4 linked regions of the Oryzias latipes genome follow. The protein of the gene in region 4 binds, or shares a complex with, the protein of the main gene of each other region. Links are inferred from orthologs where the notes say so. Each region holds a gene or a part of one and is shown on either strand. Other genes may lie near its edges. The genes, in order: hus1, rhno1, rad1 and rad9a.

Region 1 (4,946 bases), on a different chromosome or scaffold from region 4:
CTTTTCTATTGTATGTTTACCTTACAATTACCGGTACGAAGCCCACTGAGACGACTGTTGTTGTGAATTTGGGCTATACAAATAAAATTGAATTGAATTGAATTGAATTGATTTGAAACTGCTCCGTCGCTGCGTGAAAAGATGTTTGGTGTGAATGCAGCTCAAGGTAGCAGCTAGCTCACATCCCACTGATCCACGTCAGCCAGTCACGGTTCTGATGAGCGGCCCAAACGCCAAGATCCGGGCCAAAACAGAGAACAGAATGCTCACAAGTGTGGACAGCAGGTGTTGCTCAAAGCTTCAAATAAACCCAATGGGATATCATGATTATGAGAACCGAGATCATCTATACCGTAAAATTATCTAAACCCAGAAGAACCAACCTGAACCCTGAGACTGGGAGATTGTTAGTAAGCTTTTATGAAAATCACAGATCTTCCCTGAAGACAGTTTCTCCTAAGCTGAGGGGTCAAGTGCTCAGAGCAGGACTTACCAGCTCGGCGCAGACAGTCAGACAGGGGCAATGCTTCTTGGTAAGTTTGACTTTAACAGATTTGGCATTCTGGATCGTCTTCAGGGCTCTGGACAGGTTCTCTGGAGCCAACTCCAGACAAATCTCATTGTTCTCTGGAGAAACGCCCTCCATCTGGTACTCGTCGAAGAAGTTAGCCTGCAGTAGGTTTAAAATTGCTTAAAATATTCTTCCTGCAATGCCAAATCCAAACCAAAAGGTGGCGTTGCTCACCTGTGACAGCTCACACCACATGCTGACTCCTCCATTGGCCACTTTCCCTGACAGGACAAAGAAAAGGTTGTCCGGGTTGAGCCGCAGCACGCACGTCTTGGTCAGCTTGGAGATGGTGGTGACGACTCCTGGAGGAAGTTAGCAACCACTGTCAGTCCTGAGCACACACTGAACCCGTTTACTCCACATGTTCACCATTTCCTGTTACTCAGGGCTCCAGACTGCGACCATTTGGTTGCATTTTGCGACCAAAATTTGAGAGTGTGCGACTGAATTTTACATCTAGCATGTGCTAGATATCTACCAGTAAATTTGCCTCCCCCACCCTCCGTATTTTTTATACATTAAACGTGGAAGGGGCACGTCAATGATCAATGAAATGAGCAATGAAATAAACAATGAGACGATTTAGTCTTAGACGCACTTAAAACACGTGTGGAAAATGCAACAATAGTCGGGTTTACGATAAACCAGCGCCCTGGGGGGGGGGGGGGGGGGGGGGGGCATGAAGGCGAAGCTGCAGCGAGACTGAAGGAGAGCAGGAAGTTGTAGTCCTTAACATTCAATTTAGTTTTAACATGCCTCTCCCCTTAAGTATGATCTGTGATATTACATCTTTTATAATTATTTTAATGTTTTGGAATGTATGTAGCTTTTTTTAATCAGTTGGTATTTTAAATTATTTTAATTGATCAGTGAACTACAAAAAACCCATCAGGAAGCATGTCCCATAATGCATCGTTTTGTAGTCTGTAGGGCAGCTTTCAGTCAGTTCAGTGCTAAATTTCTAGCTGCGTTCGCTCAGGTTGAGGTCTTGCTTCCGCCCCTTTCTGGTGATATTTTTGTTTTGATTGACAGGTGATGTTGAGGAAAAACAAAAATATGTCTCACACCAGGTGATCTGTGCAGCGTTGCGTCCATCTGGGTGATCTCAAATTATTGTGCATCTTGGCTGCACCTATTTGGTGTCGCCAACATGAATTTCCATCCCCTAATGTTTACATACATTTAAGTATTGTTTGAAACTGTGAAATGACCGAAAGGTTACTACGGTATTCACTTGTTACTAAAAACTTTTTTTTAATGTATGGTATTTTGTTTACTATTTGTACTGTCATGACAGCGATGGTGCTGTCAGTTTACCTTGTTGCATCTTCAAAAGTGCAGAATAAAATATGACACTGAATTTGAAACAGCACGTTGTAATTTCGGCATCTATTATAAAAGTATTTATTAGTAATACAGTGGAAATTAATAGATTTGGTTAGCATGTTGATTTACAATATGCGCCCCTAAATTTTCTGGTTGTGGCCCTAAAATTTTCAGTTGGGGGCAACAGTGCTCCTAGTGAAAAAAGTTAATCTGGAGCCCTGTTACTGGATGTTTTCAGTCAACAGTTGGACAGCAAAATGAGATTTCCTTTACCAAATAACACCAATTATTCGATAATAATACGGCAGATTAACACATTTCTCCTCAAAACAGGCACATTTATTTATGTTTATTTAGTATTTTTTTATATCTGCACTCACTGGGTTTACCAGATAAGTGAAGTCAGGTTGTTTAAGCCAACTGCAGTTTTCTCTTTTAATACATTTTCGTTTGTTTCAAACTACTAGTTTCTAAAGTCAGTCTCTGGTTGCTATTATTGGTCACATTATCAATTAAATGTTAAAATATTTTAAAATGTTCGTCAAAAATAATTTAATTGAACATAATTGAAGGGCTTACTCATACATTTCAGGTACAGAAACAACAGAAATGCACACCTGAGGTTAAAAGCCCTTTAAAAATATATTTACAGAACTCCTATTCCCAACATGCAACGCGACACGACAAACGTTTTAAGTTTTTCAAAGTCGTCATTTAAGAGAATCATATTAGATTTATTTGCTGATCAGATTGAAGTGAATTTTTACACATACGAAATTTATAATGTGAATGAAAGTGGCTCGTAGATAACTGAATGTGACATCGTCGGCTCTCAGTTTTCGGTAGTTTTTTTTTTTTTTTTTTTTTGCTGTTTGAAGTGACTCACGGGTGAAGTGGTTCAGACACGCCACGTCCACGATCTTCCCCCGAAACTTCATCTGGACTCTGAGACCAAATACTGAGGTTTTCTGCTAAACACAGCTTCTGCGCATCAAACGCAGGCGGGAAACCATTAAAGCGCTCTGTCTTGGTTAGGTCCGTCTGCGTAAAATGTTCCCCGGAAACAAAACAATAATAGTTCCTGTCTGAACAGATACATAACTTATAAATCCAGAATATTCGAAAGTTGTTGTAAAAACTGAAACGAATTAGACTTGGTATTAAAAGGATAAATCAATCTTTATTTATACAGCACTGTATGCAGCTCAAAGTGCATTAAAAGTGTGACTATATAGTCAATGGTTAAAAATAATGTTGCAAAATTTATACACACCTACGCCCACATCAACAAACAAAAAAATAAAGATAAAATCAAGTCTAAAAATGTTAAAAATCTTAAAAGAAATTAACAAAAAAAACTTCTCACACAGGAAGAAAAGGAATAGGTCAAAAGTTGAACTGATTGTCAAAAAATAAATAAACACAATGTCAAACTTTAATAGCCTGCAGCAGTAATGAAATCCCAAATCTAATTAACAGACTCAGTAAGTTATAAAACCCTCTCAGAACTAACAAGTTTAGTTGAACAGCAAATGATCTGCTCCTCATGTCTAATAGATGATTAAAAATGTCAGCTGTGGTCCTTCAGAGACACAGGTGCATTCCCGTGTGTTGTGGTTATGATAAAGGTTAGAAAGGTCAAACTCAGTACAGAACCGTTGAGAGTTTTGGACGACAGGTCTGTGTGGGAATTTGGTTTTGAGCTGTTCAAAATTTTTAGTTTGTTGAAAATTACACAGTTTACGTGTATTTTGCATAGTTTACACGCAATTATTCTTACGCAATTGTGTGTGATTTTTGTGAGATGTATATGCAATTTTGTGGCTTTGCACGACCATTCCACGTATGTCTAACAGACTTTTCACGCATGTATAACTTTTATATCACGTCTACGGCGCACATATCACGTTAAAATTACTTTATTGGCGCACAAATCACTAAAGAATTCCATGTAAACGGCACAATGATCACACAAGGTTCATGATCTACAAGTCCTGGCTCCTCTGGCTGTTTGTTTCACCTGAAACCTTCAAAACTTTGGTCCTTCAAGATAGATTTGTGTGATGCTTGAGTTCAGTGAACGGAAGGAACAGATGGACTGTAAGTCGTCAGTAACTAAAGTAAATTGAATAAGTAAAGCCACATTCTGCTCCATCCTGATGTCAGACAAATAGATCCAAAGGTTTCTGACTGCAGAAATATTTCACTGCAGATCTTCTTTCCCTTCTTTCTTTTAAATATTTGCTGCATTTGTTTAAAAAGAAAAAAATGGTCATAGGTGAAACAGCAGGTCTTTGTGGGTGATTAGAGAAAGGCTCAGTCCTCTTTACCCAGAACTCAAACTTCAGCACGTTGGACACCATGTTTGGTCTTATCATCTGAAGAAGGTCAAACATTTTCACTCTGAGGGCAGACTGGTAAAAAGAAAACCTCCATGAGAGAGCTCTTTGTTTCCTGTCTGATTAATCCTCTTAAGAAGCTGCAGTTTCTGTTTGAAACAGGCTGGAGTAAAGGGTTGGAAGCTGCTGGCTGAGGTACAACTGTGTGTTTCAGATTAGGAATCTTTTTCTTCTTCTTGGAGCTCAATTCATCTTTATCTTCAGGCATGAGTCATCTGCTGAAGGTTAACCTGACGCATGCGCATGAGGTTGATTGGTTCTCTGTCCAATGACAAGCCGCCGTTTTACATAAAGTGCTGGCGTGCCTTCGGACCTTCATCTCTCCTCCTCCTCCTCTTTGTTGACTGGCGCGAGCATGGCGCCGCTCTCCATCCAGTCCGGAGTCAGTTACGCTAAAACGCTGCTGCCGGATTCTCTGCTCAGGTGAGTCTGCTCCGAGTTTGCGCGCGCGGAGGGTTTGGACTCAGTGCGTCAGTCAGGTCACCTGTTCGCGGCACCTCGCGTGTCCGTGAGGACAGATTTAGAGAATCTCCAATATGTCATGTTAATATTCAAATTTCAGCAAAACATTTAGTAAAAAAAATGAATATGTGATATTATATTTTATTTCGAATGAAGCTCAACCTAAAACGGAAAATGAGGAAAACAAA
Region 2 (3,912 bases), on a different chromosome or scaffold from region 4:
TTGAAAACAAGCCAAACACACAGAAAACAAACGCTGGGATTTATAACTTTCCCTGACCGGTCCTTCTTCCAAACAACCGTTAAGTCGCAACTCACTAAAAAAATCAAACTAAAAACATTCTCAGTTAATTGTCATCAATTCTATAATTATCAGGAGTTGAATATCAAAGCTACCGTACAACCGTTAGAAGCTAACGTTAGCTGCTTCAGCCCGTTTTCCGATGTTTGCGATGCCGCGTTTTATCAAAGTTAAAGGCGACACTTAAGTTTTCCCAACACAATTCCACGGACACGAGCGGGATTTTCACGCCACAATAGACAAAACTGAAGACCAAAGAAGTCCGTGAATAAGTAAGGATGTATTTTCAAGGCTTTACTCTTACCTTATGCTGTAATAACTCATGTTTATGCACGGTTACTAAGGAAAAGGCTCCTCGAAGAAAAACGCTTTTTGCGGACGCAGGAGCTGCGGATGAATACTCTGCCTTGGCAACCAAGCGGACCAATAACGAGCACTCCTATTGGCCGGCTGTTTTCCTAGAAGGAATCTAATTGGTTTACATCTGGGGAAAAGGTGGGAACAATAAAAGGTTTTCTCTAAAACGAAATGGGCTTCAAATGACCATCCAGTATGACTTAAATTTCTAATATGTGTTCAAAACTTAGAAAAATAAATAATTATTAATCAGATGTCAAATTCATTTATTTTTCATTTGATTCTTGTCAGGCAACATCAGGAAAAAATAATATTATTTGGGTGTGCAAGAGAAATGAAAAAGGATTTTTTACAAAAATTAAAAGATTTATGATAGAATAAACTTAAGTGACTAATCGAGGAGGCCCCTTTCCTTTAATATGATCATCAATCCCTTTCTCCTCCTCCACGTCACCTTCACCCCATAGTCCCTCTCTGGTGTGTCGGAGACCAAAACATTAGGATGAAGATGACACTGCGGGGAGGAGGGATCAGCCAGCAGTGAACAAACAGGGGGAGACATGGGGCAACTGTTCTGCTTCATTGTTGGAGTGTCCACTTCAGGAGGCGGGTCAACATTGCCAAGTCTAGGGCTACTACACCCACCGGGTGGAGTTCTGCTTTCCTCCGTTACCTCTATTAACTGATTTTCAGGTTGGTGCAAATATTCACTGTGAGATGGAGCTCTGTTTAAAGATTTTTGAGGATTTCTTCGTCTCTTAGGTGCAGGTAAAACTGTCCTATTGCTTTGACATGATCCCTGTGGTTGATCTTCAGGCATTGACGTCACCTCTGCCGCTTTCTTTGTGCGCTGTCCACTTGGATTATGGGACTTGTCTCTCTCCGCCCTAAGAAATAATAACGATGGGTATTTGCACACTTTGTGTTTCCTGGACAGCTCGTTGCACGTGTCAAGAATCCTTGTGACGGACTGACAATTTCTTCTTCCTCGTCTAAATGGAGGTGTAGCTGAGATGTCAAACTGGGGTTGAACCTGAAAGGTTGGGAAATTTATAGTTAAGTAGACTTTTTTGCCAGTTATCTAATCAACTAAATCTATATTTGTAATGTTTTATATATTTTTATATATTTAAAAGACTTTTACCCAGGAACTGAGAGCTGAAGAGCTGTGTGTCTTGGAGAAAAACTCTCTGGGATTGAGAGCAGCTCTGACTTCAGGCACATTTTGAAGTCTGGCGCCACTCACAGGTCGCTCCAGGAATTGCAGTGCAGGCTTGTCTGTCTTTGCCGCTTTCCGGGGCATCAATTTAAATCAATCTTAAGCATCTGTTCAAAACAAACAAGAGACAAATCCGATCGAGTAATCTTGTTAACAATACACATAGCTTTAGTCGTAGATCGAGGCTGTTTACATATTCGCATTCAAGTGTTTACTTTTGAAACGCGTTCTTTACTTACCATATTGTGCTTTTTCCGTGATTATGTGTCCATGTACGGAATACGGAATAAAAACGTTCCCTTATTTTTCGGTTCATTCAGACCTTTTTATCTTAGCTTGTCCGTGTTGTTGTTACTTTTAATTTCCCGGATTTTTTCTTTGTCTTCTTCGGGTTAGCGGCTGGCCATCTCGAGCTGCGGCCCACAGCGCCACCTATTGAGCCGCCCAGTGTTTTTTTCTGCGTTTACTATTGGTCCATTGTTACCATGTGATCAAAGTGACAGTCGGGGCAGCGCCCACAGCGCCAAAATTCAAAACTGTTTATGGATTGACTTTTTGTATCTAATTACTACTAAATACGTCGGTTTTGTGAATATTTTAAATGTTTTCTTTGATCCGACAAGTGGAATTGAAAGCCGAACCAAGCCTGGAATTGAATGAAACGCTGCAGTAATTCAGTAATGTGAAGGTCTGGCTTCATTTTTCCACTTGTTTCCTCCATCGTCAAACAGCTTTAGCATAGCTAGCTTAGCCTAGCTGTAAATAAAGGAAACTATACGCTAATCGGGACATTGGCTAGGCGCATGTTATTTTTTGAATTTATTTTTTGTTTTATTGATTGCATTGTGTTAACATGTAAATATATGTTGCACTGAATATCCACTAGATAGACGTTATTGAAATTAAACCTATCATCAACTGAAAATTATAACGACTGGCATGTCGCCAAGGGAACCGAATAAAATCTTCACTTTCGAGCGAGGGACTGTTGGGACTTTTGCAGCAAACAGACAGCAATAATCGGGTTTCTTTAAGTTTGAAGACGATATCATAGGATTGAAACATCATTTTTGACCGATTACTTCGTATTCTATTAGCAGGTATGTTGTTTTCAGGCTCACTAGTTCGGGGTTATCGTTAAAGTCAGTATTTAAACGTTGTAACGTAATGTATTGATAAGGTGTTTAACTTCTGAGTACTTTTTGAGCCATAACTGTAGCTCAAGACCTTTTCCCCCTCCCCACAGATTTCCATTGAACACCTAAGGCCCTTTGGATGATTTGAACCATGAGACGGAGCCCAAGGAGACCCCTGATCCTCAAAAGGCGCAAGTTACCTTTTCAACAAAAGGAACCCACCCCAGCAGACCCATCCAGGCAGTCCGGTGGCTCCAAAGAGCCGTCAAATTCCAGCGACAGTTCGTGCTTCCCAGACGGGGTCCGCTTTATAGGCCACCCATCCCTGTCAGACACTCAGGTTGTGGTCATTCCCAAAGCTACAGACGTTCAGAGTGTAATTAGTGTCCTCGCCGCTAAAGGCAAAGACAGCGGAGTTCAGGGTCCGAGCAAGTTTATTCTCCTGAGTGACAATGGCAATCAGGATCAAGCCGGATCTTTCTGTGAGACTGCTACTTCTGGAGGAGATGCTGTTTCCACACAAATCCCATCTCAAGAACCAGCAACAAAAGAAAGCACTCACACATCCCTTGATGTGACTGGCATTAAACCCTGTAAGGAATTTGCACAGAGTTTAAAATTTTATGTCAGAAATGCTACATTTAACTGAAATACCTGCTTCAATATATATATATAATTTTTTTTCAGTGAGTAAAGATGGGAATAGCGGCCCTTTGGATGACAGCCTCACCAACATCCAGTGGCTGGGCAAAATGAACACATGTGCTCTAGAGTCAGAGCCTGCAAAGCAAATACAAGGCAAGGAGAACCAGGCTCCCGTGTCTCAGACTGCTCAGGTCAGCTGTTTGTCTTTTTTTTTCCTTCCACACGGTTGTGACTTTTGCTGCCAGTGTGCAAACAGATTCTTGTGTGACAGGAACACAAGTCTGAGGCAATGTTGTGGCACGTTTCCTAAAATTGAACAGTAACCCGTCTGCCTGAGGAAAATGTCACCATGCTGTGATTTTTCACCATTTGTGAGGTTTAGTCACACGTTTTCATTTTATTCTAAAGCTGCTCTTTGCTGAAGATTTTGACAAAACGTAAGTTTTTTGTGAGAGAAAAATAGATACTATTACCCAC
Region 3 (5,040 bases), on a different chromosome or scaffold from region 4:
CGGCCGACAAAAAACCTGTTGAAATTCAGACGGAGCCCCCTGAGCCTAAAGCTGAGAAGAAGCACAAATTCAAACCGTCCAAGAGGCAACGGCAGCAGATGGCGCGCAGATAATGGGATTGAGCTGAGATTGAAGAACTTTCTCTCATCCAAATCACCCGCAGAGAAAACATGATTCCCCCCGAATTTTTTTTTTGTAATTCTCCAAGTTTTCCTCCTGAAGAAAATGTTTGTCTCAAGTGTATTACAACAATTTATGAACCGACAACTTCTGCTTTGTTTTAATTTGGCAGTAAAGCAAGAATTAATTGTTGTGATGTGTGTACCGGTACATTAAATAAGACCCAAAAGCCTCACCTGTACAGCTAACTGTTCACTTCAAACACCTCAAATACTAAACACATCCAATAAATAGGAAACTCCTTTAGATTTGAGCATCAACTTTACCGACCTTCCCCTCATATCAGGAAAATGGTACGTTCCTCTGCAGAGCTAGACGGAAGATAAAAGGGGGACTTGGCTGCATGTCAGAACTGAAAAGGTGTCATCACTGCATTTCTAATCTTTAGAAATGACCTTTTAGTGCCCCTTCTGGTTTATTTGTTTTGATTCAGTTTCTGTTCAGACGGCAAATACCCACATTACAAGACATTTAGTCAAGACTTTAGCTCAAAAGCTTGCGTTAAATGAAGCAGTCATCTTTCTATGTTTGCATTCATCAGACTGGGATTGCCTCCTGACAGAGTTCCTCTTCTTGGCTGTTTTTTTTTAAGAGCAACTGGAAACCACTGCAGTTAAAATGCTAGTTTGGGTCAGTCTAAATGTCATTCCTCCTCCTCCTCCTCCACCTCCTCATCAGGACAGTAGTAGAATTCCAGAAAGCAGATCTGTCCGTCATCATTCCTGACCAGGTACTGCTGGGAGAGGAGGCCCCTGTTGTCTGTCCTCACTGAGACCTTACAGGACAGAGCCAGGGCTTTGGTGGACGGCTTCAGGAGGGACATCTTATATCTGTCATGATTCATGAAACAGAAGAAGACATGAATGATGAGCCTTTTTTTCCCTCTCTGTTATATGTAAGGTGGCAGATGTTTAAACAAAAAGAATAGTTGAAAGATGTTTAGGAGAATCTTCAAAATTAAAACATTTTTGAAATGTTTTTTATTTCAGGTCATCTTTTGGCTTTAATGATGCACGTTTCTTCTGATATCTGCACATACCGGTTCGTTTGCGTCATGGTGCATTGAAACAGCTCCATCATGTCCGAGTCTTTGGAATAATCATAATGTGCATTTCCAGAGTTCCCAAATGTTGACAACCTTAAACAGATCAAACAGTAAAGCATTTTTTAAAGCTTAAATATATCATATCTTTTTTTGCTTTCTGATGAAGGCAGACTGTTTATTCAGTGCAGGAGAACAGCAAGCAGGTTTTAGCAGCTCACCTGAAGTACGGCTGGCTGGGGGACATGGTGATCTGAAGCACATCACTGGTCATGTCCAGTTCAGAGAAAGCTTCCTTCAGACTCTCCGACTGCAAAATCACCTTTAAAAAGGGCATTTTTTTCCCAAAGGATTTCATAATAAACACACAAATGCGAGACTTCAAGCTACTAAGCACCTGGATGTAATTAAGTAAGATATTACTTTCACTGTTTTTTCTAATTCAATTAAAAAAAAAATCATCTTTCAAAAGATGAAGCTTTTTCACAAAAAGACAAATGATGACGGGAACCTTATTTGTAACGTTAGTGCTGCAGAACTCAAAATCCATTGGTTCTTCAGGTTCTTGTGTGTTAATCTTGCAGACTGTCACCACGCCCCCCTCCTCCAGGAAGAGAGTCAGAGGGTATCCATAACCTTTGTAGCACATTCGTAAGGCAGTAGAAGTTCCTGCAAAGTCACAACAAAAAAAGATCTAAAAAGGGTTGGAACTAAGTTTGAATTGTGCAAAAAAAAAAAAAATTCTTTACCTGCTACTGCATTTCCTCCAAAGATATTTAGGCAATCCAGCAGAACAGTGAGGTTGATCTGAAAAGTCACCAAATCTTCCTTAAGGGTGAACTCCTGAAAGATCTCTGTCTGGAGTGAAAACAGAACAACTTCTCTTCAGTCAGGATTTCGAATACAAAATTGATGGATGCAAATCCAAAAACAAAGACTGCACACACACCTGGATGAATGCATTGGCTTGAAGACATTTGGAGTCCTCCACAGTGACCTTTAGGCCGTTGGGTGTTGCTGTGAAGACTGCATGATCCTTAAAAGTGATAGCTTTTAGGATGTTGGAGAGATTGCGAGCGTTGTCCAAACTGGCTACTAAAACATAGTGTTCCTCATCGTCCTGAGACTGTGTGGACAGAGGCATTGCTCTGCTGAAAGACAAAAACAGGTTTGCAAGAATCTAAAACAAAACAAATACACTATTTATTTCAGCAAAAAACATTTCAGCTTTCTGGGTATTAATGCCAACATATTGAATCTATTTGATGGACATTCGGCAGGTTAATTCTGATAGGACTGAATTTAATTAAAACTTATTATTCGGGATTAAAAATCATTAGGAGAAAAAATTATATTACTAATATCAATATTTCTAACATTAGAAAGCAACCTTTTTTCTAATTGTATTTAATGATCACATAATAAGGTTTGAGGAATCAATGTTGCATCAAGAAGATGAGAAATGAGATCATTAAACTCAGCTTTAATGAGAAAACTCATTAAAGCTGAGTTTTCTCAACTCAGCTTTAATGTCTAAAAATTAATCAAACTCTTCAAACTGAATTAAAATATATATTTCTTTAGCTTCTGATGTTTATTTTAGCTGTTGTGAATTCACTGAAATTCCTTAATTAACGGTTTTATTTTGCATTGTGAGGTAGTTCAGAATGATGACTTTACTGCTATCAAATTAGCTGCTAATAGTGTTTCTGTCGTATGTTTTTCTTAAATAATATTTTCAGAATTTCCTTCAACTTTGCCATGTTAATAAATTAGCTGTGTTAGCTAGGCTACTTTTTCAGCTTTGCAGCTTGAGATAAGGAGTAATAAACGACACAAAAGCAACTTTTACCTTTTTTTAACTTGCTTTTAAAGGGGTGCTCCACTGATCTATAATTGTCCTGGTTGGTTGGAAAACTGCGGACATGTATCGAAGAAATGCGCCCGATTTGTAGCAACTTCCGGTTTGGTCTTCCCTCAACGGAAGTTGCGTTTCTGTGCGGCACACTATGTTCCAGAGATTTCGCTCCTGAGTCGAAACTGAACAACTCTTCGTGACCGCAACAGCTGTCTCTACTAAGGCCGGTGGTTTGTGATCGTATTTAGAAAAAAGGGTAAGTTTATTGAAATTATCTGGCTTGACACCATGTCTGCTGGTTTTCCGTGTTCGTTATGTAAGCCGCAAAAAGAGCACGAGAAGTTGGAAGCTAACTCACTACGTACCGGTGAGACATATATTTCTCTAGAACTGTTTCCCTCAGGGAAAAAAAAAATACTAGAAATAGATACATGTCGTTTTTAAATAATGGAATATATATTAGATAGATCCGAAATAGTCCTTTAATAAAGCTGAATAACTGAGGCAGCTAACTTAAGCTTCATCAACTTTGCTGACGCAGTTCAAGTTAAGCTAGCTCATCAGGCTGTCTGTCTAACTGTCAAATGTTTATCTTACTTTTGGGACTACAGCGCCACCTTTTGAGGCTTTGTTCTCCTTATATTTTTTTCTTTTAATTACTCAATTTTCCTGCTGCTTTAAAGCAATCAAACTGAGTTGGTCAAACAAAGTTTGTTAAAATTGTTTTTGGACAAATGGTTTTTTAGGAGTTTTTCCTTACCGCGAAGGGGGGTCTAAGGGCAGGGATGCCAGTATAGCTTAGTCAGTTTGTTAGTTCTTTTTAGTATTTTCCTATTGAACTCTTTGTATTCATGATCCTTTTGAGTTCATGTTTTACTTCGAAGCCCATCGAGATGACTGTTGTTGTGATTTTGGGCTATACAAATAAAATTGAATTGAATGGAATTCAAAGGTAGAGCAGCGCTCAAATCTCAATACACGGTCCACAAATGGACACAAATAGATGAATCAAACTTTGTGGCAATATGATACAGTCCAAATCTTCTACCTAATTGTAGACAATGTATTTATTATTCATTTATAAAACTATAAACAAAATGCCAACGAGAGAAACTTACTTACTGCCACTTTTTACTTTTATCAATTAAGCAAAGTCCTTAACATAGAAGCTTCAAACATAAAGACTTGGTATTCTGCGTCTTTAATATTGATTTTCCCCTTGTGGTTATTTGATTTAGGCCTTGTTTGCAGTCCTGTGGGGAAAAAAGGATTGTAATATGTTTATAGCACACAAAACGCATCCCTCCCTGTAGTTCCCCTTTAGACAATTGTAATTGGCCCGACCAGGTAGAAGCAAGCTTGTGATTGGACGTCTTTTTATTTGTATCATTTGGACTTTAAAGTCCCACTCAAATCATCTTTGTGATCTTTTTTAAAAGGTTCCCAGTGGCCTCGTTATTATGACGATGCCGTTTTAGTCACACACAACAAACAAACAAAAAACCTGTGTTGTTCTTAGAATTCACTTCTAAGTTGTGGGCGGGACCATTAGTGCGGAGTAAGCCTTCCTCCACTTCCCATCATCCATTTGTTTACACACTCATCTGCTAGTTTACAGCCTTTTACACCAACCTAACATTACCAGTGGCAGATGCCAGCCTTGACAAGAAAAACAAGGACGTAGATGGACGCATAGGAATGGAACGGCGAAGGGAGTGTGTGGTGTACTTTGGCACCTGTGTCACAAGAACACTAAGAACACTGTTTCCATTGGACTGTGTTTTTAGAACGGCAAAGGCAGTAGAGAGCACAACAGGAAGAGAAACTGACAAACTGTATATTAGAAGCCTATTATTTACTTCCAGATCAATTTGATATATTTTTACCAAGATAATCTTGTTTGTATCAGTGGTTTTCAACCAATACTGCTATTACTCCCAGTGCTGCATCTATTTTTTGA
Region 4 (4,966 bases):
GATGAATTGATGACTGTTGAGTAACTGGATGGAGTGAAGCACTGTTACCATGTTTGCAGTGCAGGGTGAAGGTGAGGCGGTCTTTCTGCTCATTCAGCTCAATGTGACACTTTTCTACCGTTTTCTCCAGAGTTGCCAAAGATCTGAATACAGACTGTACACTCTGACAAGCACAGAAAAAAACAACAACAAATAAGAGAAAAATAATGAATGCACGTGTGTCTGAACATTTACAAAACAACATATCCTAACTGCTTCTTTTAAAAAAGGGTTAAAGGTTAGACATTGATTTGCAAAGTGATGTTACTATTAGGTGAGCTTTCACACAGCAGTGAGAATAGGCGTATTTGGCCCCTTTTGTTATTATCTACAACTGCCAGAGGAAGGAAGCTAAGAGGTTTGAAACATTTTCACTCAGATAACCACAACATTAAAGTTGCTACATGGCAGCAAAGAGATAACTTGAAATCAAGAAAACGGGTTTTAGCTCAAAAACTTTCACTTCTAAACAGTTAAATCGGATAACAGTCGGTAAGCAATCATACATATTCCTATTCTTAAAATTGAAAAAGAAATAGATTGGGGGAGTTTAGGAGTTTGAAAAAATAATAATAATAGTCGTACAAATGCATCGTATGACAGTCAAGATGTCAAAGAAGGGAAATAAAGGGATTTTTTTTTCTAAAAGGGGACAAAAATATGTTTAATGACTAACCAATAAAAGTAAGCTTGGACTGCCAAACTTAACAGGACGGGTGAAAGCTATAAGTGGCAGATTAAAGCAAATCATATCAATGTCATAAATCTTTCATCTGATCACGTTTATATTAAAAACTTTAATTGCAATCCACCTCTTTATTTTTAGAGCACCTTTCATCAACATGCTTGACATAAAAGTCATATGTAAACATAGGTTAAAAAGTCATAAAAAACAGTAGATTAAAAGCTTAAAAGATAGAAGGGTAAAAACATACTAACGATAACATAAAATACTGAAAAGCCAAATAAATAAATAAGTTAATTATATGAGTTACGCAGTGCTACGTTAGAATGATGCATCTTTAATTTACATTTAAAAATCTCCACGGATGCAGAAAATGTCAGATCTGCAGGTAAGTTACTCCACAGATGAGGAGCACTGTACTGAAAAGAGGCCTCGCTGTGAGTCCTGGTTCAGATTAGAGAGCAGGACCTGAGGATCTGACAGTTCTGGAGGAAGGAGTATGGAGATGTAATTGATGCTAATAACAACTAAATGATTACAAATATTACTAACAAATAATGGTCAAAGTATGTTTTATTGGGAAATGTACTTAATAAAGGACAAAGAAAAGTACTTGGAGTCATCTGATGATGAGCTTTGGGATTTTTCACAAAAAGATAAGCAGATTCACTTTCATTGGTAAACAGCTTGAGAATCCACCTTTATTGCTATCTTGCAGCGGAAGTTTCTCCCGTCGGGAATCGAGTACCTGCACAAAAACACGGGCAGTTGGAAGCTGACTTGCATCACTGACACGATCTGTGATTGATTGAAACGAGAGCGGAGCGTGCACCTGCTGAAGAAGAGTGGTGCGAACAGGAAGCAAGCATATGCCGACCGAGAAGAGTTCACAGACCGCAGCGCCAGCTACAAGAGAGAGATGCATTCAAATCAGCACCATTCGTCGACGCAAACAGGAAGTAAGCAAAATATATACATGATGGTTGGTAGGAGGAAGTGCTGGTGTTTCTGACAGCGTCAAAGCAGCTCACCCCGTCTTCCTGGGGCTCCACGTACAACTCATCACCGATGCGCGACAGAGAATGGATAGCTTTGGCCAACACTATTGAGTGGACGCACGCGCCCAAACAGGTAATAACGACAGCTTTGTTATTATTATCAATGGTAGTAGCACAATTGTGTTTCAGTGACAGAAAAATCCTGGTCTACCTTTCACGTTTCCTCCCGTCACGACACACTGCATTTCTGCAAACGAACTTTCCCCGTCGAGTTAGTCTAAAATGAATCCAAACTAGCAGCTGTGCAACACCATCGAAATAATTAAGGGGGCTTTCGTATGTTGCACGTACAACACAGACGCACTTTCTAAACTTATGCTTAAATGTTAGTGGAATACCAAATGTTTTTTTAGGAGACTGCAAGACAGTTGAGCCAAACCTCACGTTGTTTACGGCGCCACAAGCTGCTTCCGCACAGTTGACCAATCAGAGTTACTGAATTTCGAAGAGGGCGCGGCTACACCCATGCACATGCGCAATAGCTTTGGTGTTTTTACTATGAAATTTCTTTACGTCGACACTCGCAGTATTAAAGGATTCAACCTGTCTTTACAACTTATAAAAATATTATTATTTTTTTATTTAACAGACTCCGAAGCAAAGTATATAATATATTTTTCTGATAGACGGACAGCAACTTAACTGTGTCCACTCCGTCCACCACAGCCACCCACTATCACTCAATATCACTTTCCACTTAACATATTACATCAAATTCGTCTTTTTAGTCTACTTCTGTTGAGGTGCCCACTCCCCCAACACATTACACCTAAGAGCAAAGCAATGTCATTTCAGTCATTTAAACTAAAACAGAGAATTTGGTCCTTTAAAGGCTTTTACCTTATTAAAAAGTGCAGTATGTTTCTTTTGACCCTCTTCAAGCTTTAGGTGGTTACAGGTGATCAAGTTCTTCACCTTCTTTGTCCTCTTACTATGACTAGATTTCTTGAAAGAACTTGTAAAGCTGCAGTCTTTGTTGTAGACTTTGCTTTCTTTGGCATGATTCCCACACATTTTGGGCTGTATTCTGGAAAACAATACCAATGTGGAATAATTGTAGGTGTTTTTATAAAAATACAGGTAATATCCTGAATAACTGAAGTGTTATTATCTGTTTCTTAAAGTTTTAAAGATAATTCTGTTACTTTATTCTGTTTTTGTGCTTTTTATGCACGTTTATTTCACATATAGGGAAAAGTTGCTGTAGTTCAAGTGGTAAGTTTGACTCCCTGCCAACAATGTCAAGTTTTTGACATTGTTGGCATTTAGATAAAATGAAAAAACAAAAGTAAAGGGTGGAGGTAAAATGGCATTTTCCAAAAAGCTGACTTTTTGTGTCATGTTTCTTCTTCTGTTTAGAAGTAGCTACTGATCTTACAAAACCTCACTGTAATTACTAGCTGAAACCCAAAGTGGAGAAAAATAGTGCATGTGTAAGAGAGCCTGAGAGAAATAGGACGGAAGGGCAAGCTAAACTGGCTGCAAAGCCAGAGTCACAAAGGGAGTCACAAAGGGAGAGTCACAAAGGGAGAGTCACTGGGAAAGCAAAGTTATCTAACCTCACTGGTTTTACGTGTTGGTTTGCTTCAGTGCGTGAGATCTGAGGAACGCTGTCGAGAACCACCTCTCCTCTGATCACCGCTGACAGTAGTGGCCGCGAAAAGAAGAAGAGGTGGGACTAAACTAATCGCTGTGGACATTCAGTGAAAGATATCTAATGGATACAAGAGGACTGCCTTCGGGAGGTGCTGGCTTCTTTTGTTAAAACGAGGAAAGGAGGACCCCTACTTCATAAAACCTGAGGATTCTAAGTGGAGGAAATTCAAAATAACAGGAAGACATCAACAAAAGAAGTGACAGGACGTTCAACTGACCGTTTGCAAAGAGAAAGTGTAAGCATGATTGAAACAGACCAGAACATCCCAAAAAAGGGACTTAGTCCTTGCAGGATGTTTTTTATATCAAATAATTGTGACATTTCAATTTTTCTAACATGGGTTTCAGCCTCAGTACAACAGAAAATGGTGTGATACCTTTGCTAGTTTAGATAAAAAGAGGATTATTCGTTTGTACACACTGTGACTACATCTAAATGTGACCTTTAGAGATGTCTCAGTCACAGCAACAGACAGACACGCAGGCCATGCTGCAGTCAATGCTTCAGAAACTGAAGCTCCAGCCAGGATCAGAAGGCCATGGATCCCAGCAAACATTTGCCGTGGATGCTCCCACACCGGTGCAACATCATGAAAAAGGATTGTTCCCTCCACAGGGGGTCAACACCAGCACTGTGGAAGTGTTTGGTTTCAACGGAAGTGCCTTAAAAGAGTATGGGTCCCCCACTGACTTTGGCTTTAGTGGTGGAAAAGGGAAGCAACCAGGTCCTGGCTGTGAGGTGAGCAGTCCAGTTTCCTTCCCTTCTTTTAATTTCAGTGCTGTTAGCAACAAGAGCAAGAGCTGGGTGCTGGAACACGCCACTCATCCTGGGGTCACACCAGCAGCAACGTGGCATCTGTTTCCTGCAACATCACCAAAGGACATTGATCTCACTTCCTTTAAGTCCACTAATGGGGACACAAGCACTTTTGGAAACTTTACAATGACTCAACCCTTCCTTGCTAATAAGGAGACTGCTTTTAATTTGAGATCCAATCAGACCACAGTTCAGGGTTTCACACCCAAATCGCATGTGTGGTCCAAGAAGGGTACTGATGCTGACAAAGACAACAAGGAGTTGAACACGGGGAATGGTGCAGGTTTGGACCAAAGTAGAGGCTTGCACTTTGCAAGTAACCAAAAACCAGCAGGCAGCAGGAGAAAACAGAGATCAGAATCTGAGAATAATACCAAAAAGAGATGGACACAGAAAATTAAGGAGAGACTAAAGGACAAACAAGGGAACAATGGCAAAAAGCCAAGAGAAGAGGGAAGCACGACAGATAAGATAGCCGAGCAAGAAACTCAGGTGAGTAGGATATGTTCACTTTTCTTATTTCCTAAAGTCAAAATTTCAAAAATAAATCTTTAGATGGAAAATTGAGGATTTTTAATTGACAAATTTTAACCTCAAAACAGCAACGGGTGGAGGATCTTTTTAATACATCAAACTCGGATGGGAAAGGGGCTCTTTCCTCAGTGGGCAGCAGCATGTTTCCTGTAAAAACAGAGGACAGCACAACTGACA

The links.
Region 1: the proteins of rad9a (region 4) and hus1 are in contact, whole or in part, in a crystal structure (PDB 3GGR), measured with the Homo sapiens proteins. The link is inferred for Oryzias latipes from reciprocal best matches to the Homo sapiens genes RAD9A and HUS1. Residues at the interface, in NP_004575.1 of Homo sapiens: Leu157, Pro158, Pro161, Val176, Ala186, Lys191, Ala192, Met193, Val194, Thr195, Glu196, Met197, Cys198, Leu199, Gly200, Asp203; in NP_004498.1 of Homo sapiens: Thr84, Asn87, Arg90, Ala91, Lys93, Thr94, Phe110, Ser121, Ser123, Ser126, Arg127, Ile128, Val129, Thr130, His131, Asp132, Ile133, Pro134, Ile135.
Region 2: the proteins of rad9a (region 4) and rhno1 are in contact, whole or in part, in a crystal structure (PDB 8WU8), measured with the Homo sapiens proteins. The link is inferred for Oryzias latipes from reciprocal best matches to the Homo sapiens genes RAD9A and RHNO1. Residues at the interface, in NP_004575.1 of Homo sapiens: Val41, Ser44, Arg45, Ser46, Ala47, Tyr48, Glu130, Leu132, Gln133, Ala134, Val135, Glu165, Tyr181, Glu183, Thr216, Phe217, Cys218, Gly244, Pro246, Val261, Leu262, Ala263, Thr264, Leu265, Ser266; in NP_001239428.1 of Homo sapiens: Thr88, Lys90, Phe91, Pro92, His93, Leu94, Thr95, Phe96, Glu97, Ser98.
Region 3: the proteins of rad9a (region 4) and rad1 are in contact, whole or in part, in a crystal structure (PDB 3GGR), measured with the Homo sapiens proteins. The link is inferred for Oryzias latipes from reciprocal best matches to the Homo sapiens genes RAD9A and RAD1. Residues at the interface, in NP_004575.1 of Homo sapiens: Leu76, Ser82, Val83, Ser86, Leu90, Lys92, Leu112, Phe116, Gly117, Val118, Arg119, Lys120, Thr121, His122, Asn123, Leu124; in NP_002844.1 of Homo sapiens: Glu165, Ala166, Ser168, Glu169, Asn195, Ala196, Gly197, Ser198, Ser199, His200, Leu201, Asp202, Tyr203, Pro204, Asp206, Ser207, Glu211.

The regions. Positions count from the first base shown.
Region 1 is NC_019878.2:4,319,650-4,324,595, reverse strand, and holds the start of hus1 (checkpoint protein HUS1), read right to left. Parts: upstream 3,123-4,946; 5' UTR 2,836-3,122; coding exon 2,784-2,835; intron 874-2,783; coding exon 746-873; intron 671-745; coding exon 494-670; intron 1-493. Other genes in the region: cell death activator CIDE-A, read left to right, coding at 4,652-4,719. UniProt on the Homo sapiens protein: Component of the 9-1-1 cell-cycle checkpoint response complex that plays a major role in DNA repair. The 9-1-1 complex is recruited to DNA lesion upon damage by the RAD17-replication factor C (RFC) clamp loader complex.
Region 2 is NC_019881.2:18,846,635-18,850,546, forward strand, and holds rhno1 (RAD9, HUS1, RAD1-interacting nuclear orphan protein 1), read right to left. Parts: upstream 2,058-3,912; 5' UTR 1,894-2,057; intron 1,762-1,893; 5' UTR 1,739-1,761; coding exon 1,580-1,738; intron 1,469-1,579; coding exon 827-1,468; 3' UTR 706-826; downstream 1-705. Other genes in the region: foxm1 (forkhead box protein M1), read left to right, coding at 2,942-3,383, 3,478-3,626. UniProt on the Homo sapiens protein: Involved in microhomology-mediated end-joining (MMEJ) DNA repair by promoting recruitment of polymerase theta (POLQ) to DNA damage sites during mitosis.
Region 3 is NC_019870.2:9,821,805-9,826,844, reverse strand, and holds rad1 (cell cycle checkpoint protein RAD1), read right to left. Parts: upstream 3,231-5,040; 5' UTR 3,078-3,230; exon of another isoform or gene 3,075-3,077; intron 2,376-3,074; exon of another isoform or gene 2,373-2,375; 5' UTR 2,367-2,372; coding exon 2,172-2,366; intron 2,081-2,171; coding exon 1,972-2,080; intron 1,892-1,971; coding exon 1,734-1,891; intron 1,545-1,733; coding exon 1,444-1,544; intron 1,319-1,443; coding exon 1,220-1,318; intron 1,011-1,219; coding exon 824-1,010; 3' UTR 577-823; downstream 1-576. Other genes in the region: brix1 (ribosome biogenesis protein BRX1 homolog), read left to right, coding at 1-113. UniProt on the Homo sapiens protein: Component of the 9-1-1 cell-cycle checkpoint response complex that plays a major role in DNA repair. The 9-1-1 complex is recruited to DNA lesion upon damage by the RAD17-replication factor C (RFC) clamp loader complex.
Region 4 is NC_019868.2:13,973,030-13,977,995, forward strand, and holds the start of rad9a (cell cycle checkpoint control protein RAD9A), read right to left. Parts: upstream 3,294-4,966; 5' UTR 1,968-3,293; coding exon 1,934-1,967; intron 1,856-1,933; exon of another isoform or gene 1,827-1,855; coding exon 1,756-1,826; exon of another isoform or gene 1,637-1,755; intron 1,631-1,636; coding exon 1,557-1,630; intron 1,473-1,556; coding exon 1,424-1,472; intron 164-1,423; coding exon 49-163; intron 1-48. Other genes in the region: uncharacterized protein LOC105354882, read left to right, coding at 3,890-4,747, 4,858-4,966. UniProt on the Homo sapiens protein: Component of the 9-1-1 cell-cycle checkpoint response complex that plays a major role in DNA repair. The 9-1-1 complex is recruited to DNA lesion upon damage by the RAD17-replication factor C (RFC) clamp loader complex.